Linked DNA regions of Arabidopsis thaliana. The protein of the gene in region 3 binds, or shares a complex with, the protein of the main gene of each other region. Each region holds a gene or a part of one and is shown on either strand. Other genes may lie near its edges.

Region 1 (5,160 bases), on a different chromosome or scaffold from region 3:
AAGTTATTACTGTTGTTTACCACGCAAATTTTCACTAGCTCAAGACACGGTAACTTCTCCAAGAAATGCTTCATTTGATTCAGCTCTCTTGTCGTTCCTTGATAGCTCAATATCTCCAGCACCTTCACTTGAGATGATGATAGGCAAGAGGTTATGCTCTCGTCGGTATCATAGCAAACACATACATCCCCACATCTGTTTGTTATGTAGTGATCGAGACCCTGAAGCATAACAAAGAAAAAGAGTAATGTTAACGACCTACCAATATATATATGGTGTTTAGGATGTGTTTGTGACATGAGATACCATGAAGATGAGGGTTTCTAGGTTTGGAGAGTTCTTGATCAGAAGTGGCAGCATTTGCCATCCTCTTGCCTTGTCATTCCCAATAGATAGACTAACAAGGCTGTCGAACAATGGCATTTCTTTACATGAGAAATAAAGCAGCTTCAACAAAACACAATGTGTTAGTCTGTTGTCACTCAATAACACAAAAGTTGAAATAAATCATCAAAAGCCCCAAGTGAATCTCATTCTCGATAAGCAAAAAAAAAGAAGAATGTTATTTATAAGGAAAGAACAATATATAGAGGAGGCTGACCTCTAGAGTGTGGCTAGATAAGTGAAGGATTCTAACATTTCTGATTCCATTGATGAGATTTCTCATATCAGCGGGAATGGAACCGAGAGATCCATTTCTTACTCCCACCATTCTTGTTTCATCCATCCGAAGATTGAGTCTAGCTTCGATGAGGGAATCCAACTTAACATTAGGATACTTACCCAAAACATAACCAGAGTGTTTGTAGTAGATAAGATTAGGAGCATCTAATGAAATACTAGTAAACTTGCGATCAAATCGGATGTGTAGTCTCTTTAGAGATGGAGAAGACACGGAACAAGTCCAATCTACACATCGCCGCTCCTCAACAACCAGTTCTTCGAGAACAGGACAGCGAGATATAAGAGTTCCAACAACATTATGACCTCCAACAAAATTAACTGAGTCAAGACATAATGTCCTAAGCAAAGGAAGAGAAACATCTTGAGAAAGCTTGATTGTAAAACCACGTCCTACTCTCAGCTTAACCAATGTCTTGCTCTTAAAGATCATTGCAGGCACTGGTGGAGATTTTCCTTTTAAAGTAATGAACACATCAAGATCCATAACACCATGGTCAAGAACGTTGCAAATCCAACTTTGAATGCGAGATGAATCAGTGCCACCTCGAACACCAACATGACTCTTTAGAGTGAGCTTCTTTATAGAAGAACCACGTTGCGTATCTAGCAATTTGTCAACGAAAGCCATGTAATTTCTGTGAATCTCAATCCGGTTTTGCTTAGTCTTAGGCACAGATTGACGATCATCAATATCAAGATTGGAAACCAAAACAAACATGTTCTTCCACCTCTTAGAGAGTACTGAGGTTGAAACAGCTTCTTTTGTGGAGATAAGAGACAGAATACGCCCAAGAACCTCATCTGGTAGACGGCTGATTACATCTTTAGCATTCATTGATACCAAAACCTTAAAACCACAGCAATTGGATTCAGAAACAGTAACTAGACAGAGTTGATGAGTTCAAAGGTCTGTTCTTTTTCATACAATGCAAAGTCTAATACAAAAGTTATCATGTATCTCTTCAATCACATTGATTACCATAGAAATGAAAAAGACGAAACAGAGCAGACAACATACCTTGCTAAAGTGCTACTTGCTACAGAGTCGTGAAAGCTCTCCACTTTCAATACCAATTTAATCGTGAGATCAAAAGTGAAAACATCGAATACTAGGGTTTTGGAAAGTTTAAGAGAAGAGACGAAGAAACTGAAACAACTTATTATAAGCAATTTCCTCCATTTCCACATGAGGAAAGAGTAAAGCAGAAAGACTGATGAAGAAAAGGTAAGTAGTCTGTTTGGGAAAGAAAGTCACGTGAGAGAAGCGTGGGCCTTTAAGGGTAAAACTGTCATTTAAATAGTCGCCGTTCTTTACACTTAGGATTAGGGCTTCTAACATTTAAATAGTCGTTTCGTTCTCCGTCTCTCCTTTCCCGTCGGCCGGTGATAATTTCGCAACCCAAATTCCAAATGGTAAGTTTCAGTTCTTGGATTTGTATGATTTTGTAATGTGAATAGGGATTTGAAGATTTACTTACTTTTGAAATTCAGGCGTCGGAGAAGAAGCTATCGAACCCAATGAGGGACATTAAAGTGCAGAAGCTGGTTCTCAACATCTCCGTTGGTGAGAGTGGAGATCGTCTCACCAGAGCCTCCAAGGTTCCTCCTGTTTTTTACCCATTCTCTGTGGTTTTCACTCTTGTTGTCACTTGGTTATAATCGATTGATTCGTGGTTACTTGGTAGGTTTTGGAACAATTGAGTGGTCAGACTCCTGTTTTCTCCAAAGGTTAGATTTTTTCTCATATTTGAAAGCTTACAAATAGTCTGGTTGATAGATTTAGTAATCTAGAAGAATTTGGGAAACATAGTTTAGTTAAGTCTATGAATGGGTGCATGGTTTGATGATGAATTTGAGATTTTGGAATCCAGTAAGTCCCTTATCTGGTGGTTTGTGATAACTTGATAAGCCTACCAGTCCAAATTAGGAGCTGTTCGTTTCCCCGCTTCTGATATAGTTGCGTTGTGCACTCTGTTTTATATGCATCGCTTTTGGTTTGCTCTGAGAGACATGATTTGGTTTAGCTTCTTCCATTGCAATTTTCAAGAACCCTTGTTATGTGTGGCTTTTGCAGCTAGATACACTGTTCGTTCTTTTGGTATCAGACGTAACGAGAAGATCGCATGCTATGTAACCGTCAGAGGTGAGAAGGCAATGCAACTACTTGAAAGTGGATTGAAAGTCAAGGAATACGAACTTCTCAGAAGAAACTTCAGTGACACTGGTTGCTTCGGTTTTGGTATTCAAGAACACATTGATTTGGGTATCAAGTAAGTCAATCCCCTTAAATCATCCTGTCATAACACTTGGGGTTCACCACATTCTTGGTGATACTCATTGATCTTTGTTTCACTTCTTATAAAGGTACGATCCATCAACTGGAATCTATGGTATGGACTTCTATGTGGTCCTAGAACGTCCTGGCTACCGTGTAGCACGTCGCAGAAGGTGCAAGGCTCGTGTTGGTATCCAACACAGAGTAACTAAAGACGATGCAATGAAATGGTTCCAGGTGAAATACGAAGGAGTCATTCTCAACAAGTCCCAGAACATCACTGGCTAAAACAATTCCTCCTAACTCTTTCTTCTGTTTTAGAAAACCCTGTCTCAGTTTTGTTTACTTGTCTGAATCTTAATCTTTGTACTTTATATGCATTATTGGCTTTAGTTTCAGTTATTTAAGTATCTAATTTCGTGTGAGGATAAGCAAGATAAGAAAATTTTGGCGGGTAGTTGAAGCGTGTGGAGACATATAAATCCACTAGCTGACACGTGCCACGGACGGCTAAGCACGCTTTCGCCGATCGCCGATCGCCGCTAGATTCATCTCGGATTCCTCCAAATAAGCTTCCCTGGTTCTTATCTTGCCACGTCAGCATTTCTCCCTCGTACGCCTTAAATTCTTCACAAAAATAATAAAAATATTAATTCAAATAAATGTTCATCTTCTCCTACGAATGAAATTGAAATTAATTTGAGCGATCGGAACAGGATCGGGTCGGATCTTTTGAAGTTCTTCAATGGCGCAGATACTTTCCCCTGTTTGTACGGATCTTTTGAAGTTCCAGAACTCAGCTCTTAGCTCCAGATCAGGTGCGTCGCCGCGGTTCTCGGCGAAGACCACCGGTGCTTCTTCATCTTGGTACTTACCTCGGTACGCAGGAAAGAGGCGAACCGATTCAATCGGAAGATTGAGAGTTGCAACTGAGGATGCTTCTTCTCTTTCCACCGGTGATGTCGCCGATGATTACTATGCCGTTCTCGGACTCGTAAGAACCAAGGCTATTTCAATCCGATTTGATATATGCATATAGGGATTTTGAAGTGATGATTTTTTTTTTTGGTTTAAGTTGTTTGCTTATGATTGAAACTTCTTGTGTATCATGGAAAAATACTCTGCATTTCATATGGTTGTAGCTAGATTCATCTTTGTCGAAATTGTGAAGCCTTTGACAGGTTACAATCATTAAGATCAAAGATTGTGACTTTAATAACTCTCCTTTGCTATGTCAATAGCTTCCAGATGCTACGCAGGAGGAGATTAAGAAAGCTTACTATAACTGTATGAAATCGTGCCATCCAGACTTGAGTGGCAATGACCCCGAAACCACAAATTTCTGCATGTTCATTAACGATATCTATGAGGTGAGTTTTTTACTTGACTTCCTTATAGATTTTTGTAAGCGTTTAGTAAGGTCCATATGCTTTTTCGTTTAATGATTTACCGTTGCATTGCAGATTCTCAGTGACCCTGTACAGCGTATGGTTTACGATGAAATTCATGGGTATACAGTGACTGCCATCAATCCTTTTCTTGATGACTCCACCCCAAGGGATCATGTTTTTGTTGATGAGTTTGCTTGTATAGGTATTCTTTCTTCAATTTAGAGGCTGCGTGCTTTGATGATCTGGAAAGTGACTACATTTGCGTTTGGTGTTTAACAGGCTGCAAAAATTGTGCCAATGTGGCTCCAGATATATTTCAAATTGAGGAAGACTTTGGTAGAGCAAGGGCTTGTAATCAGCGTGGCAACCCAGATTTGGTTCAGCAAGCAGTTGAAACATGGTAGGTTTATATTCTGTAGATGCAACTGATTGTTATAGTTACTTCTGGTGGGCAATTTCAGAGAACTGATTAGGAGATGCTTTTGGTTTTGTTTTCAGCCCGGTTGATTGTATCCATCAGACTTCTGCTGCACAGTTGTCATTGCTTGAAGATGAAATGCGAAGGGTTGAAAGAGTGAATGTAAGACGAGCATTTCCCTTGTAGCTATCTTGTTGTTCATTGATTAGAAACAGAAGACATTGCTGAGGTTTCTTGATTGTATATTTGTTGCTGAACTGCTGCATTTAAGCTCTTGGAATTGTCATTGATTGATCAGGTTGCTCTGATGCTTTCTGGAATGGGGTCAGGAGCAGTTGATGTTTTCAGAATGGTAAGAAGGAAATAAAACCCGCTCGGTTCGGTAGCTGATC
Region 2 (5,629 bases), on a different chromosome or scaffold from region 3:
GCCTCTTCCTCGCTCGTCTCAAAAACCTCAAAACCCTCTACATTTCCTCAACCCCAATCCAAACCTCTCGTCGTCTTTATGTCATCCTCGGAAACATGCATAAACTCACTTCCCTCACTATCTCAAACTCAAATCTCACTGGCCTTATCCCTAAATCTTTCCACTCAAATCTCAGATACATAGATTTATCAAACAACTCACTCAAAGGCTCAATACGCATTTCCATTACTCGTCTCAAAAACCTCAAGTCCTTAAACTTATCTCATAACTCTCTCTCTGGCCAAATACCAAACAAAATCAAAAGCTTAACTTTTCTAAAAAACTTATCTTTAGCTTCAAACAAACTATCAGGAACAATCCCAAATTCACTCTCATCTATCTCTGAACTTACACATTTGGATCTAAGTATGAATCAACTAAACGGAACCGTTCCAAGTTTCTTCTCCGAGATGAAGAACCTCAAACACTTGAATCTCGCTGATAACTCCTTCCATGGAGTTTTACCATTCAACGAAAGCTTCATCAAAAATCTCAACTTTTTCGAAATTGGAAGGAACAGTGAGCTCTGTTATAACAAAACTGTTCTCTCCTCGAACTTGAAATTGGAGGGTCTTGCTCCGTGTGATAAATACGGTTTTCCTTTATGGTCTCCGTCGCAAAAGGAGGAATCTTTGTCAGGAGAAAACGATTACGACGTTGAAGGAGGCAATGAGGAGAAGACGGAGAATCTGAAGACGAAGGAAGAAGAAGAAGAAGAACACAAAGGTTCCAACAAGACTCTGTTTGGTCTCGGCATTGGTCTTTTCTCGCTTGTGTTCTTAATCCTCTTCCTCTTTTATCTCGCTAAAAGGTGTCGTTTGATTTGAGAAGTCTGGGACGTAGTAATTTTGTATTGGTTGTGTATTCACCCTTCTCTCCTTCTAAATGTTTTATTTTATTTTCTCCTGTTTTAGTATTTATGAATTGTGGTTATGAGTGTATTTATGAATTGTGGTTATGAGTATCTTTAGTTTTATTTATACAAATTTGTTCAAAACATAGGGTTAGTTTAGGGACTGTGTAGTCCAGAGACATATTCATCTATAAGGACAATGAAATCAAAGGAGCTGCTTTTGATTGATTTTAGTTTTGATGATGACATTGAATAAAATAAGAAACATATCTCCAAGGTTCTTGGAAGATTTAGATTCTACCAAACTGATGTCAAAAGATTTACTACAACAAGAAATTCTTTAACATCCAAAGATAACAACTTAAAATAAGCTAGAATCAACAAAAATCTTTAAAGATCAAAACACTTTTTAACCAGTGATGTTCTGAGACTTGTTGAGGATAACTCCTTCATACTTGACCTGGAACCATTTCATTGCATCATCCTTGGTTACTCTGTGTTGAATACCAACACGAGTCTTGCATCTACGGCGGCGAGCCACACGATATCCTGGGCGTTCAAGGACAACGTAAAAGTCCATTCCGTAGATACCAGTGGAAGGATCGTACCTATATACACAAAATAAAACACATGAGAACAGTAAACATTTCAAATAAACCAGTTAATCAGTTTCGAATCTAACACCCTTGAAAAACAGTAAAGCATTCATCTTTTACTAGACCCAAATCTAGCATTCAACCAAAAACTAGTAAAGGGCTCATTTTTAATCCAATCCATACTTAAAATTCCACAAAAACTATAACACTCAGCGAAAACCAAAGTAGTCTGCATTCTGACTAAACCTCACAAAACCCCTAATTTAGAGACTTGACATTTAGATGCAACTGAAATTCTTTTAAACATATACAGATACATGAAGAATCCAAGTACCAAAACCATTATACAAAGCCATTAATGTAACTAATTCAAGGAAACTTTCATCGCAAAAGAAACAGAAAACTTACTTGATTCCAAGATCAATGTGCTCTTGGATACCAAATCCAAAGCAACCAGTGTCACTGAAGTTCCTCCTAAGAAGCTCATACTCCTTAACTTTCAAACCACTCTCAAGAAGCTGCATTGCCTTCTCACCTCTCACAGTCACATAACACGCAATCTTCTCATTACGCCTGATACCAAAAGACCTCACAGTGTACCTCGCTGTATAACAAAAACCACAACATACATCAGAATCAAGATCAACACAAAATCAAACTTAAATCCCTGAAAGATTTCAAATTCACATACCCTTAGAGAAGACAGGGGTTTGTCCACTGAGCTGCTCCAACACCTATACGAAATAACCAAAAACAATAATTCAAATCTAAATCACTAAATCAATGATGGATAATCGTAAAGGTCAGATTTTTACAAACAAAATCGAACCTTGGAGGCACGAGTGAGACGATCACCACTCTCACCAACGGAAATGTTGAGAACAAGTTTCTGAACCTTAATGTCCCTCATGGGGTTCGAGAGCTTCTTCTCCGACGCCTGAGAAACAAAACAAAGCCGAAAAATAAACCCATTGAACTAAACACATTTTCATTGAATCGATCTACAGAGACGAACGAAACAAATACCATTTTAAGGAGATCAATGTCGAGCTAAGAGACGAAGCAGTGTAGAGTTTGCAAAGCCCAAAACTGCGTCGAGTGCAAAGTGAGAGAACTTATATGGGTCGGTACTTAGGGTTTCTTGAATTAACGCAATGACGAAATTACCCCTTTGATTTATTAAAATGGTTTAATGGGCCAATATTATAAAGCCCATAAGAAAAGCATAATCTTAAGCATATATTTGGCCTTCTTAGTTACATAAGGCAAATAGTCTTTCATTCGCCGAATCACTTTATTATGTATGAGTTTTAAAATTAACGATAGATAATTTTTTATGAGACTGTGGAAACGCAAATCTTCATTTATTTTTGGAAGAACAGAATAAATAAGAGTTATTGAGAAAACAAATTTTTACAGTTAATGCCATGACAATGACAACAAAATCAAGAAGACTAGTTAAGACACTATGAAGTCTATCATCGTGGTCCAGAGAGCTCAATGGCTTCAATAATAAAGGACTGCTCTTCATGACCATTACTGTAGTTCCTAGAGACACTTGGAGCTCTAGCTTCATACCCTCCTTCACACTGTTCCACTAAACCTTCTAGTACCTTCAACACTTGAGACATCCTCGGTCTTAGATTCGGATGTGGCTGTGTACAAAGCAAAGCCAATTCCACTACTTCCTCCAACACCAAATCATCAAACTCTCCCTTCAAATCTCTGTCCACCATCTCTGCAAATCTCTTCTCTGCTTTCAATGTCCTTACCTACAAAAACCAATGGTTTAGATTTAAGTTTTGTCCTTATGGGTTCAGTCTAAGTTGAGTAAATGACTCATAGAATTTTTTTACTTACCCAGCTCAATATCATTCCTTTTCGAACTTGACCATTGCCTTGATCAATCATCTTATGACCTGTTATGAGTTCAAGGATTAGTACTCCGAATCCGAAAACATCGGTTTTCTCTGAGGACTGTCCAGTGGAAAGGTACTCGGGAGCGATGTGTCCAATGGTTCCTCGGACTGCGGTAGTGACATGTGAATCTCTCTGGTCTAAAAGCTTTGCTAGACCAAAATCGCCAACTATTGCTTCAAAGCTCTCATCAAGTAGAATATTTGCAGCTTTGACGTCTCTGTGAATAATCTTTGGATTGCATTGCTCGTGCAAGTAAACAAGTCCTCGAGCTGCGCCGAGTGCAATGCTTATCCTCCGATTCCAATCTAGAGACGGCTTTTCTCCATAATTGTCTGAAACATGTAATCTTATAAGGAACTTTTCGCGTTATATATCGAAAGAATAACAAAACAAGAAATGTGTTAATTGAAAACCTCTCAGACGATCAGCTACGCTTCCATTTGGCATGTACGGATACACAAGCATTCTCTCTTCCGGGGTCATACAGAATCCAAAGAGGCGTAAAAGGTTACGGTGAACAGCTAAGCCAATCATCTCTACTTCGGTTTGAAACTGAACTTCTCCTGTATAAATCGGATCTTTCAATCTTTTAACTGCCACCACAGTTCCATTTGGGAGATACCCTTTATAAACCATCCCAAACCCTCCTTGTCCCAAAATGTTCTTTGGACTAAAATTGCTTGTTGCGGTTTGTATTTCGCGAAAACTGAACCTTTTCAGATGGCCGATTTCAAATTCGTAGTCTTGCTGCACTAAGAAATCCATAAAAAGTAATGCAGATTTTAGCAAAGTCTTGACATATATTGTATATGACAGACAGAGAGAGACTATTAGATATGTACCGTGTGATCTTGAGAGACGTGATCGATGCCAAAGCACCCAGAAGAAGAGAAACATTAGGGAGATGATAAAGGCAACAACAATGCCAAATGCAAAAGAGAGCACTAAGCTGTGATGTTTGCTATTGTCCTTTTCAGACAAACCCGTCGCTGCAGATCGATTGCAGCTAGTTAAATAAACGAAACCATGTTTTAAATAAAGTTTTGCAAAGAATTTTCGAAGCAACATACCATTTCTCACAGGTGTAGCATCTGAGCAAAGCTCTTGGGAAGCTGGACCACAAAGAAATGCATTTCCTACAATCCTAAAACAGAAAAGTTTATCAAGAAGCTTTCACATAAGTTGCAACGGCTAATAATCATGCATTTTTCGCATATCTTACCTGTAATCTTTTGCTGATATATTCGGAGTTGGTCCGCTTAGATTGTTGAAAGATAGATCCCTATTCAAGTTTTTCATAAATAAAAAAACATTAGTCTAAGAAACATTATACGAAATAGAAATTTCCTGGAGCTGTAATGTTAGGTAGAGTAAGACATACAAGAAAGAAAGACCTGAGAGGCCAGCGACGAGGTGAGGGACTTGCCCAGATAAAAGATTCCTGCTAAGCCGCCTACAAGACTTAACCTTGTAAGAAAATAACAATTGCAACATTAAGTAAATCAAGAATCTTTGCATCAAACTCACAAGTAGTTTAAGTGAGTTAAGAACCCTAAAGAAGCTGGGATTTCACCACTAAACCGATTCCCCGATAAATCAAGCGTTTCAAGCTCAGAGAGTTGGCCTAACTCAGAAGGAATCGGACCAGTTAACTGATTATTCTGAAGTAACCTACAATAATAACAAGTAACCCCATTAGTTACAACAACACATACTTGAATTCCAAGATTAACCACAAATTCATTTAACTCACAAAGTATGAAGATGAGTTAATTCCCCAATACTAGTAGATAGTATCCCTGATAATCCTTTACTAGCCATCTCTCTGCATTAAAGATTTCAATAAACTCAGCAAAGAAACGTTTCTCAGAGACATTTAGTCGAACAAGTGGTGTGCAAAAGATACTCACAGAGAAACCACAAAACCTTCAGAAGAACAACCAACCATGTTCCAAGTACAAGGATCAACAGAGTTAATATCCCAACCAGACAAAACCTCTTTCTCATCTTTCATCTTGTTCTTCACTGACATTAACGCAGCCACTACAATAACCCAAAAATATGGATTAAGTCAAAACCTTTTTACACAATAAAAGAAAGATCTTTGATACTTTTTTCACCTTCATAGTTAACACCCTTGGGAGATAAAAGACTATCCATGGCAGAAACAGAGTCAAGAACAGAGTAATAATAAACCCAGATTCCTAAAAACAGAAACTTC
Region 3 (6,044 bases):
TACGATTATGATATAATTAGTCATTAGAGAACATGAATATGCTGAAGAACTATATTAGATTATTTAACTTTATGTATATAGTAGAAATATGATATCTCATCGTACCAAAAATATTCGAGAAACAATCAAAACCCAAAATCCCTCTTATTTCAAACACGTGGCGAAATCCTGTTCGTTCATAACTGGCAGTTAGAGATGCAAACAGAATCAAACTGTAGGGAGTAAACTGTAAATACTTCCTTTTCAAAGTAAGTGTATTTGATGATAATGGTTCTCTGATTAGAAAAGGCTCCGGCTTTATCATTCTCAGACCATCATCACTAAGCAGTAAGTAAGCACTATAATCGCAGAAGATAGATAAAATGGAAGTAGGGTTTCTGGGTTTGGGAATCATGGGAAAAGCCATGTCAATGAATCTATTGAAGAATGGATTCAAAGTCACTGTATGGAACAGAACACTCTCCAAGGTAATTTTTTTTTTTTTTTTGTCTTTGATTGTGTTTTGGTATTATGGTTTTCTGATTTAGTTTTAGTTGTTCAGATCTGATAAAGTCGGAAACTTTTTGAGTAATTTAATGCAATTTTGGGAATTTTTGATGATTGTGACAGTGTGATGAGCTTGTGGAGCATGGTGCATCAGTATGTGAGAGTCCAGCTGAAGTAATCAAGAAATGCAAATACACTATTGCTATGCTCTCTGATCCTTGTGCTGCTCTTTCGGTATTTGAAATCCTTTTTTGCTTCTTTTGTGTGTGTTTTAGCATTGGTGATGAATGATATGAAGTAGTTGTTTGATTAGGTTGTTTTCGATAAAGGCGGTGTTTTGGAGCAGATATGTGAAGGAAAAGGTTATATCGATATGTCGACTGTTGATGCAGAGACTTCTTTGAAGATCAATGAGGTTGAATCTTTTGTACTTTAGATGCTGATGATAAGATTAGAAGAAGGTTGATTAGTTTGATTGAGCTGTGTTGCGCATTGGTAGGCAATCACCGGGAAGGGTGGTCGGTTCGTAGAAGGTCCGGTTTCAGGTAGCAAAAAGCCAGCTGAAGATGGCCAACTCATTATCCTTGCTGCTGGTGACAAGGTACAACTCAAAACTGTACTTATGGATTGATTGATAGATCTCAAGAACTGTTTTAGTTGGACTTAGTAGGAAGGAGCTCTCGATGTGCGGCTATAATCCGTTTGTGTTTTAATCCTTTTTTGTAAGGCACTCTTTGAGGAATCAATCCCAGCTTTTGATGTCTTGGGGAAGAGATCGTTTTACTTGGGACAAGTTGGAAACGGAGCTAAAATGAAGCTAATAGTGAACATGATAATGGGAAGGTGAATGTCCCGTCTCTTTTACAATTACTACCATTAGTAGTAGGAATGGAACATGGCTTCATGATCTTATTGTTTTTCGTCTGATACAGCATGATGAATGCATTCTCTGAGGGGCTTGTATTGGCTGACAAGAGTGGACTTAGCTCTGACACTCTTTTGGATATTCTGGTGAGGTGATCAAACTTTTGCAAGCTCTGAAATAATGGTGTTGGTTTGAATCGGTTTCTGCTATGGGCAGGATCTGGGAGCAATGACTAACCCGATGTTCAAGGGGAAAGGACCTTCAATGAACAAGAGTAGTTACCCACCAGCATTTCCATTGAAACATCAGCAGAAAGACATGAGGCTAGCTCTTGCTCTTGGCGATGAAAACGCGGTTTCCATGCCTGTAGCCGCGGCTGCAAACGAGGTCAGTTAGTTAGTTAGTTACTCAGAGACAATAACATATTGGCTCTCCCTCCTCTAGATTGGTTTCTTAGCTTGAATCTTAAAATATATGTTTCGGTTCTCGACAGGCTTTTAAGAAGGCGAGAAGCTTGGGACTAGGAGATCTCGACTTCTCTGCTGTGATTGAAGCTGTGAAATTCTCCCGCGAATAGCAAACTGTTTCAAAACATCCACTCATTTGGATTGGCTGAGATACTGAAATCATTGTTATCTTCCCAAATAGAGATTTACTCATTTGGCCAAACACACATTTTACTCCTTCACCAAATAAAAAGTCTTAACCACATATCCAGAAACGTTCATAGAGTTGCAACCTTACGTTTCAACTACTTTATGGCTAGTTCACTCGATATTGGTCCAGAGGTAGATCAAATTGATTGAAACAGAACCAATAAAATAGAGCAAAGTTTATTTGAAGTTGGTCACTGTTAAGGTTATATGAAACAAAGGAAGCAAAAAAGAACCCGTAGATGAGAAGATCAAAGAAATAACATTGCATCAAGATGGTCAAGAGAAATGTTCCTATGGATTATAGACAAACGAGGAGAGGAGGAGACCATTTCAGTAGAAAATTGGATTTCGTTGGAGTGTGAATGTAAAAGCCCATAGGCCCATTAATAATATAACTAGTAAAGCCCATTAACATTTTTCAGCCCACGAGGAGTTTTCTAGGGTTTTGTCTTATAAGATGTCGCATTTAGGTCATTCCGCCTCTTGCTTCTCTTCACTCACAATCTCACAGCAAAGCCTCTCGTTGCTAGAGGAATCAAACAATGGTAAACCCTAGCTTTAATCTCTATCTCTTCTCATTTCTCAATCGTTTCTTCTTAATCTTCTCTTAAGAAAATCGGGTTTTGATCTTCATTTCATATAGAAATCTCCTGCATTGCTTTTGATTAGATATCGTAACGAGAATTCGTGATCCTATGGTTCTATCCACCTTCGTAGATGTTTTTCTTCATGGGTTTTTGGTTTTATAACTTGCTTGAGAATTGAAATAGGAAAAGTTTGAGACTTTGCTTTTGTTCTGTTTTAGAGGTCACTGATACGTATTCAATGGAGTTCTTACCGTAGATCTTTGTTACCATCGAAGAACCTTTATATTGTTGGATCTTAGACTAATAAAATAAGATGATTTGTTGTTGGTAGGTGTTTGTGAAGTCCACCAAGTCGAATGCTTACTTCAAGAGGTACCAAGTGAAGTTCAGGAGAAGAAGAGGTAATAGATTGTTGATTCGTTTTATTCTGATGATATTGTTTGTTCTCTCTTTGTTTCAATCTGTTTCTGAAAATTATTTTATTTTTGTGTAGATGGAAAGACTGACTACAGGGCAAGGATCCGTCTTATCAACCAAGACAAGAACAAGTACAATACTCCTAAGTATCGTTTTGTTGTCCGGTTTACCAACAAAGACATAGTGGCACAGATTGTATCTGCAAGCATTGCTGGTGACATTGTTAAAGCTTCTGCTTACGCACATGAACTGCCTCAGTATGGTCTCACTGTTGGTCTTACAAACTATGCTGCAGGTATTGAATGTGTCATCTGGTATTGTTTTCCAATTTAATATGGTTGATTCTGTCTTTATGGCTTACTTATGTGTAATTTTTTTTTGTTGAACTAGCTTACTGTACTGGCCTTCTTTTGGCTCGCCGTGTTTTAAAGATGTTGGAAATGGATGACGAGTATGAGGGAAACGTTGAGGTATGTTGTGTGATTGGTTTCATCTTGATAATAAGAAGCATTGTTATTGTCTCTTGTTAGAAACTCAAGTCACACAATGAATCAGGCCACTGGAGAAGACTTTTCCGTTGAGCCAACTGATTCAAGGAGACCTTTCCGTGCTCTTCTTGATGTTGGACTTATCAGGACCACAACAGGAAACCGTGTGTTCGGTGCTCTTAAGGTATTAACTTGTTTCTCTTTTTTTGTTGTGAGTGCTCTTATTTGTCATTCTTCTTGAGCAAATGCTTATACTGGCAATTCTTTAATATCCTTTTGGTTCGCTGTTTGAATCTGTAGGGTGCTTTGGATGGTGGTCTTGATATCCCTCACAGTGACAAGAGATTTGCTGGGTTCCACAAGGAGAACAAGCAACTTGATGCTGAAATCCACAGGAACTACATCTATGGTGGCCATGTCTCAAACTACATGAAGCTGTTGGGAGAAGATGAGCCAGAGAAGTTACAAACTCACTTCAGTGCTTACATCAAGAAAGGAGTTGAAGCTGAGAGCATTGAGGAGTTGTACAAGAAGGTTCACGCAGCTATTCGTGCTGACCCCAACCCAAAGAAAACCGTGAAACCTGCTCCCAAGCAACACAAGAGGTAGGGAAACAGAATCAATCTAGTCTATCTATATTCTTGTCTTGTTGGTGTATTGGTGTCTCATTTGGTCTTCCATTTAACAAAACAGGTACAACTTGAAGAAACTTACTTACGAGGAGAGGAAGAACAAGTTGATCGAGAGAGTCAAGGCATTGAATGGAGCAGGTGGTGATGATGATGATGAGGACGATGAAGAGTAAATCAGTCAAGCCTTCTTTATCTCATGCCTCTTGTAGTTTTTTATCTTTTGAGCTTAATGCCTCAAATTTTCTGTTTTCAGACTAAAACACTCAGCTTTTGTGTTCACATTTTAATTGTGTTCGAGGATTTTGATATTGAGGATACATTTTCTTTGAAGTATCATTATCTTATTATTACCTTCATCATAATTTTCAAGAATTTGTATGACAATAGTTTGATGACTTGATTTTATCTGTAGTTTGCTATTGTTAAATGTAAGAACTGTTAGACTTCATCTATATGAACTAGAAAACATTGCTACAAGATGAACTAGATCACATTACTACAAGTTTAGAGCTAAATCACTGTTTAAGGAAATAACTCAGTATTCTCTTGGAGCTATTATTATATGTAGCCTTATCGGGTACTGGAACTGTCTTATGCAAAGTAGGAATGACTTATCTGCTCTGTAGTATGAAGTATGAACTATCCTGGAAGCTGACTAATACGTAATTTAATTTCTCTCGTGACTTCTTTAGTATATAATCGAGAATATGATGTGTATTATTTGGATTCCAAGTAAATTACATGAATGGTGGAGCCCTACATGAAAGGGACCACGATTTGTCCTTAGCAAAATTTTCCATAAATTTTTATGGTGAAAGGTAACAGCCATGAAGCTTCTCTTTCTCTACCAACAGAGTCAACGATCTGTATTCAATATACACAACGTCTCTTTGTTAATCCTTCCTCTACCATGTATGCTTAGTCTTAGATCCTTTTTTCACCTTACTAATGAATTCTTCTTTTTTCCTTGGTACTCTTGCAGCTGCAATAGGCTTCTTAACCCTTTTAAAAAAATTCAAATTCCAACAAGATAACAGAGAAGATGATTCTGCTTCTTTGTCCCCTTCATCAGTTCCTCCATCTTCTTTGTCTCGAACTTGGAAGCACCAAGTCTTCCCGAGCTTCCATGGGGCAGATGTTCGAAAAACCTTTCTTAGTCACGTCCTAGAGGCGTTCAGAGGAAAGGGAATTGACCCATTTATTGATAATAGTATCGAGAGGAGTAAGTCAATCGGTCCTGAGCTCGTAGAAGCTATCAGAGGATCAAGGATTGCGATTGTCTTGCTCTCGAGGAACTATGCTTCTTCGTCGTGGTGCATGAACGAGTTGGTGGAGATTATGAAGTGCAAGGAAGACTTGGGTCAAATAGTGATAACCATTTTCTATGAAGTTGATCCAACTCATATAAAGAAACAGACCGGAGATTTTGGGAAGGTTTTCAAAGAAACTTGCAAAGGTAAAACAAAGGAAGAGATAAAGAGATGGAGAAAAGCTTTGGAGGGTGTGGCCACAATCGCTGGTTACCATTCAAGCAACTGGTTAGCCCTTTGGATTTCTACTTGCCCTCGTTTAAATATTTAAAAACATATTAAACTATATTTGTTTGTAGCTTTTAAAGAGTCAAGACATGCAACTACATATGTTTTTGGATGCGTATGATACTTTTCATGACTAGACTAATTAACTGACATATTGATGTCCTCCAATGTTAGGGATAATGAAGCGGCCATGATCGAAAATATTGATTGGAATATTCTAATTAAACAAGTTGATTAATGCTACACCGTCAAGGGATTTCGAAGCATTGATTGGAATGGGAGCTCATATGGAAAATATGCGAGCATTGTTACGCCTAGATTTAGATGACGTGAGGATGATTGGGATATGGGGTCCGCCTGGGATTGGTAAGACCA
Region 4 (5,368 bases), about 10 Mb from region 3:
AAAGAGAGGAATAAGATCATGATGAGCGAATATGCAAGACGGCGTGGGCAAGTGAGTGATGAGTTCTTCACTCTTTGTTTCTTTTTTGCTTTTTATTTTTATACTTCATTTTCGTATAGGATACATTTTCTTTCCTTACTTAATTAGTGCTTTCTTATCATTAGTTTTTACTTTTTCAATTATACTAGGTATATTCCCATGAGTTTTACCAAAGAATCAGAGTGAGTTTTTGGCCTTCCCTATTTTTGGGCTTAAAGGAAAACATAGAACATTTCCAAATCACTTACAAACTCCGAGAGAGTGTATAGAGCTGCAAATAGAGTAGGCCAAATATGCTTTAATTTGTTTTTTGTTTTTTTTGAGCAAACCAAGGAATTTTTATTTGGACATAACAACTCGCACCAAGTTCTATACATTACACATGACTTCTACTGAATAAAGAGGAAGAAAAGGCTATTCAAGAAACGTTTTGAGCTCTTTGTTTCACAAGGAACAATAGAAGTGGAACACAGTACACATTGTACCAAAGCAAACAAGCTTGCATTTTACATTTGCACGTAACAGCCAAGAATCATGGCCAAAAAATATACCGATCAAAATAAAAAGGAGGTTATTACTAATATATTATATACCTATAGATGTTGCAATTGCGGTTTCTGACTTTTAGTTTATTTTTACCAAAACCTGACAAAACTCAGCAGAAGCATAATAATAGCCAACAATCAAAATTAAAATTGTGAGGCTAATATTTTGGCTTGACGAATACTCTTTAACCAAAATCATTATGAATTATGAGTTTGGATAGCCACATATAAGATCCCATTCTTGATTCTAGCTAGGGACAGAACTTATCGAGATCAATAATTGCCAAATATGTGACTTACTTATCTTGACCATGGAGACAGTTAAAAACTCTCAATGAAACAGCTCTCCTCTCCAAATCAGAAAACCTGCATATCAATTTATGATTAAAGTGTTAACGATGTAGAGTTGTAAGAAACTTTAACATACATCATCTAACATTCGACATGAACACCTGAGGAGCCCTCATCTACGTCTTTACAAGATCGTGGCATGCACTCTATTGAGATCATTGTGAGGGCTACCACAGAGGCTCATGACGAATTTAGATGATCAGTCTACGTTTTTCTATGACCTTAACACTTATTGAGGCCGGTTGGTTCTCTATGCCCACTTAACAACAAACAAGTTTCATCACCGTAGTAAAGTGTCTGTTGGGACACAAGAGTTCACATGATATTTCAAGTTCTGATGGAACTGGAATAGGGATTGTCGTCTTTGTTTGCCACCCACACGTAGCCTCTCGTGATGATTGTTTTCATAATCTCCACAAAAGATTACTTGTGGATCGCGAACCGAGACGACAGTCCCTTGCTTTCCAAAATCAAACGAAAAGGAAAAGAAAGAAAAAGGAAGGTGTAAGAATGGTGGTAATGTGGTAGAGTTATCATTTTCTTCTTCTTACCTCCTTCCATTATATAGTGTTTCACATGCCCATTTCGTAATATAACCTAAGCCAAAGAAAATCGCTTCGGTTTTAAATTATATAATTTTATTTTATAAAGTTAAAACTCATAAATCAGTAAATAAAAAATAAACTTAGGAAACGTTTTTGTTTCAACAGATTATATGGATTTCATACTTATACACAAACTATAAACATTCCCAAAGTTTTAGTAAAAATTAGCACCCATTATCCAAAATTTTAAAAACTTAGCTTAGTTTTATTATACAATACAATAGAATCGAACAAAAGGGACAACAGTTTTCTATCATATCTCGAATGTATCGAAATGTACTTAAGCGAGTATGGCTTTTTGGGGGACAAGGATCATGCATGAACGAAATATTTCTCCAACCACATATGTTATGTTTTGGCCCCGTGAAAATTTTCCACAAGTAAATTTATTGCTAAAGTTATTGACCAACAACATAAATCTTGTTGAAATGAATTAACTGAACAGTGTGAAAAAATCAACCAATATTCATGGTGTTCCTTACAATGCAATTTCAGTTCTGATGCAATCCGTAACAATTGAAGTTGTCACATGTTCACAACAATCCTTAAATCGATTTTAGCAAAAGAGCATAAGATACATAACCAAGGTTGCTGTTAGCTCAGTAGTTGCAATTAGAATCGGCTATTGAACACAACCGGGTGATATGAGATTGCGTAGCAAGATAGTAAACAATGTTTTAAAAAGAGTTATTATAGGAACACAAACTCTTCTGATTTTAATGATAGGAGGACAAGAGAGAGCAGTGAAATAAAGTTCATAAGCAGCAAAATTCTCAAGTCTGATATTATAAGAGTAGCAAAAGTGAGAGACAAAAACGAAATAACAAGGTTTATGTTTTGCAAATATTCAGAAATGAACATCAACTACTAAAAGTAGCTACTAGCAGAAAAGACGCAGAGTGAGAAAAGATGGCTTTAAGCTCTTCAGCGTTTGCCACCACCACCTCCCACCTTAGGACCCTTGGATGCAGCAGCAGCTTTGGGGAAATTAGCCTTGACCTTCTGTTGCTTAGAAGCAAATTCCACCTTCTTAGCCTTCTTTTCATCTTTGGTCTTTTTGATTCTTTCCTTGATCTCACTGTTTGTTGAATCATCATCACAATACATTTATTAAGTCAAATATAACTATTTTAATCCTAGTTGGATGATTTGACAGAGGGAGAAAACTAACCGCAGAGCAGCTTCCCTGGCTGCATCACGAACTTCAGGCTTCTCAGCTCTCTTCTTCTGAATTACTTCCAAGGTAGCACCAACAATGGACCTTGAGTATGGCTTCTTGGTGGCACGTCTCCTTCTCTTCACAGCCTCTTGTGCTGCATCCTATAAAAGAAACAGAGTTTTAGAATGTTAACAAATCAGGATCAATGAAAAAAAACAAAGTACAAACAACAAAACAGATCCAAATTACTGAGTTTTTTTTTTACCTTCTTGTGTTGCTTTCTGTACATGGCAGTCCATGCAAGCTTGGATGGCTTCAACTTGTTATGGAAGTACCTCTTACATTTTGAGTTAAGAAACAAGAAAACCTGAAAACAATACAAACCATTAAAAGACTAAAACCAAAACATTTGCAAAGTATAAACAAATCAATTTGATTAGCTGAAGATTCATAAAAGAACCAACCTGAGAATCAGATCGGATAAACCTAATTCCTCTTCCTGGGTAAATCTTCTGTCCACTGAAACGACAAAGCTCCGTCCTGTATTTCATAGATAATAAACAAATGAGACATTGCAACTAGAAATGACAACCAAATGATCTTTGACACTGAAAAATCTCAGTCTACATGATAGAAATGAATCATCCATATACCAAATACAGACTAATCACAGATATTAACGAAGTATCATACTTTTATTACTTAGAACCAGATCCAGCTACACAGAGACCATGAAATTACCCAGCTTAGCTAACGGTAAAGCAAAACATATCATAAATTCCGATTGAAACAAGAGTCAATTTCAGTGAATCGATCCTTCCGATAGTGTGAAATCATGAATCATTATCACTAGGCGATGTTAATAGATTCAACACAGGAACAGATACAGAGAGAGAGAGAGAGGTGAGATTTGATTACTTGAGAACCATGGTAGTAGCTGCTCCTCTTCTTCTTCGTCTTCTTCCTCCTGCTCAGGCTGCTCCCGGAAACACTAGACTAGAAAACCCTAATTCTCTCGATACTTATATATAAGAGACTTCACATTTCACCCAATGCCATTTTCGTCTATATATATTATTCTGGCCCACACTTTAAGCCCACTAAATAGGCCCATCACAAATAGGCCCATAATTTTATTAGCCCATATATTTTTGTAGTGATGACGTCAGCTCTCCTCCAATAATTTTTTGATTTTTTCCCATAGCCGACGACGGTAGAGGAAACTTGTCAATGGACCTAAAAAACGGTGACGTTTCGTAAAAGGTAGATGAAAGTTTGAACAAGTAGCTAAGCTCTCTCTCTGCACAAGCTTCCAGAAAAAATCAAATCAAAAGAGAGAGAGATCCACAAAATTGGATTGAATCGTCGCCGGATATTCCAAGAGTAGAGAGCTTAGTTTGTCTCGCGTTGCGTCTAGATTTACTGAATATGGAGGCGGAGAAGTGGAACAGCGACGGTGGTGAATACACGTCGGAGGACGAAGGTACAGAAGATTACCGACGCGGCGGTTACCACGCCGTTCGGATCGGTGACTCATTCAAAACCGGCCGGTACGTTGTCCAGAGCAAACTCGGTTGGGGCCATTTCTCTACTGTTTGGCTCTCCTGGGATACTCAATCCTCTGTACGCATCTATCTCTCTCTCTCGCCACACGAATTGCTTGAAATGCTTTAGAGATTAATTTTTCGTTGCTTTGTTTGTGTGATTTTCTTACTCGTATATCGAATGTACAGAGATATGTGGCTTTGAAGGTGCAAAAGAGTGCTCAGCATTATACTGAAGCAGCCATGGATGAGATAACAATATTGCAACAGATTGCAGAGGGAGACACTGATGATACCAAATGTGTTGTGAAGCTTTTGGATCATTTCAAACACTCAGGTCCGAATGGTCAGCATGTATGTATGGTTTTTGAGTATTTGGGAGATAATCTGTTAACGTTGATTAAGTATTCTGATTACCGTGGCTTACCTATTCCTATGGTTAAGGAGATTTGTTATCATATGTTGGTTGGTTTAGACTACTTGCATAAACAGCTTTCGATTATACATACTGATTTGAAGCCTGAGAATGTTTTGTTACCGTCAACTATTGATCCGTCTAAAGATCCGAGGAAGTCTGGAGCTCCTCTTGTTCTCCCCACTGATAAGGATAATACAGTTGTTGACTCCAATGGTGATTTTGTCAAGAATCAAAAAACAGGAAGTCATAGAAAGGCAAAGCTTTCGGCTCAGGGACATGCAGAGAATAAGGGCAATACGGAATCTGATAAAGTTCGTGGAGTGGGATCACCGGTTAATGGAAAACAATGTGCTGCAGAAAAATCGGTTGAAGAAGATTGTCCTTCTACTTCTGACGCAATTGAATTAGATGGTAGCGAGAAAGGAAAGCAGGGTGGTAAGAAAGGGAGTCGATCAAGTCGAAGGCACCTTGTGGCATCTGCTGACCTCAAGTGTAAACTTGTTGACTTTGGTAATGCGTGTTGGACATACAAACAGTTCACAAGCGACATTCAAACGAGACAGTATAGGTGTCCAGAAGTAATCCTTGGATCTAAATACTCTACATCTGCAGATCTCTGGTCATTCGCGTGCATATGTTTTGAACTTGTCACTGGAGATGTGCTATTTGATCCCCATAGTGGCGACAATTATGATAGAGATGAGGTA

Evidence for each region.
Region 1: ATL5 (region 3) and RPL16A share a complex: the UniProt entries of both Arabidopsis thaliana proteins name them as parts of the large ribosomal subunit.
Region 2: ATL5 (region 3) and AT5G45775 share a complex: the UniProt entries of both Arabidopsis thaliana proteins name them as parts of the large ribosomal subunit.
Region 4: ATL5 (region 3) and STV1 share a complex: the UniProt entries of both Arabidopsis thaliana proteins name them as parts of the large ribosomal subunit.

Annotation. Positions count from the first base shown.
Region 1 is NC_003071.7:17,789,700-17,794,859, forward strand, and holds RPL16A (ribosomal protein large subunit 16A), read left to right. Parts: upstream 1-1,992; 5' UTR 1,993-2,094; coding exon 2,095-2,097; intron 2,098-2,175; coding exon 2,176-2,283; intron 2,284-2,369; coding exon 2,370-2,412; intron 2,413-2,758; coding exon 2,759-2,954; intron 2,955-3,048; coding exon 3,049-3,247; 3' UTR 3,248-3,443; downstream 3,444-5,160. Other genes in the region: AT2G42730 (F-box/FBD/LRR protein), read right to left, coding at 1-221, 307-447, 602-1,519; AT2G42750 (DNAJ heat shock N-terminal domain-containing protein), read left to right, coding at 3,705-3,953, 4,201-4,329, 4,423-4,552, 4,630-4,750, 4,849-4,930, 5,067-5,120. UniProt on the Arabidopsis thaliana protein: Component of the ribosome, a large ribonucleoprotein complex responsible for the synthesis of proteins in the cell.
Region 2 is NC_003076.8:18,563,980-18,569,608, forward strand, and holds AT5G45775 (Ribosomal L5P family protein), read right to left. Parts: upstream 2,604-5,629; 5' UTR 2,518-2,603; coding exon 2,515-2,517; intron 2,492-2,514; exon of another isoform or gene 2,426-2,491; coding exon 2,318-2,425; intron 2,223-2,317; coding exon 2,180-2,222; intron 2,093-2,179; coding exon 1,897-2,092; intron 1,501-1,896; coding exon 1,302-1,500; 3' UTR 1,013-1,301; downstream 1-1,012. Other genes in the region: RLP55 (receptor like protein 55), read left to right, coding at 1-866; AT5G45780 (Leucine-rich repeat protein kinase family protein), read right to left, coding at 2,967-3,260, 3,349-3,740, 3,822-4,160, 4,251-4,397, 4,479-4,552, 4,631-4,690, 4,790-4,861, 4,936-5,079 and 3 more. UniProt on the Arabidopsis thaliana protein: Component of the ribosome, a large ribonucleoprotein complex responsible for the synthesis of proteins in the cell.
Region 3 is NC_003074.8:9,267,833-9,273,876, reverse strand, and holds ATL5 (ribosomal protein L5), read left to right. Parts: upstream 1-2,411; 5' UTR 2,412-2,549; coding exon 2,550-2,552; exon of another isoform or gene 2,553-2,702; coding exon of another isoform or gene 2,703-2,705; intron 2,706-2,925; coding exon 2,926-2,995; intron 2,996-3,087; coding exon 3,088-3,306; intron 3,307-3,401; coding exon 3,402-3,481; intron 3,482-3,566; coding exon 3,567-3,683; intron 3,684-3,799; coding exon 3,800-4,104; intron 4,105-4,192; coding exon 4,193-4,304; 3' UTR 4,305-4,600; downstream 4,601-6,044. Other genes in the region: GLYR1 (glyoxylate reductase 1), read left to right, coding at 363-467, 610-720, 800-901, 986-1,087, 1,214-1,329, 1,419-1,497, 1,568-1,738, 1,845-1,928; AT3G25510 (disease resistance protein (TIR-NBS-LRR class) family protein), read left to right, coding at 5,945-6,044. UniProt on the Arabidopsis thaliana protein: Component of the ribosome, a large ribonucleoprotein complex responsible for the synthesis of proteins in the cell.
Region 4 is NC_003074.8:19,658,285-19,663,652, forward strand, and holds STV1 (Ribosomal protein L24e family protein), read right to left. Parts: upstream 3,742-5,368; 5' UTR 3,629-3,741; coding exon 3,618-3,628; intron 3,240-3,617; coding exon 3,164-3,239; intron 3,067-3,163; coding exon 2,965-3,066; intron 2,861-2,964; coding exon 2,712-2,860; intron 2,619-2,711; coding exon 2,465-2,618; 3' UTR 2,204-2,464; downstream 1-2,203. Other genes in the region: SRPK4 (ser/arg-rich protein kinase 4), read left to right, coding at 4,128-4,322, 4,433-5,365. UniProt on the Arabidopsis thaliana protein: Might have an extraribosomal function in reinitiation of translation of ETTIN and MONOPTEROS genes that are involved in the auxin-mediated gynoecium patterning.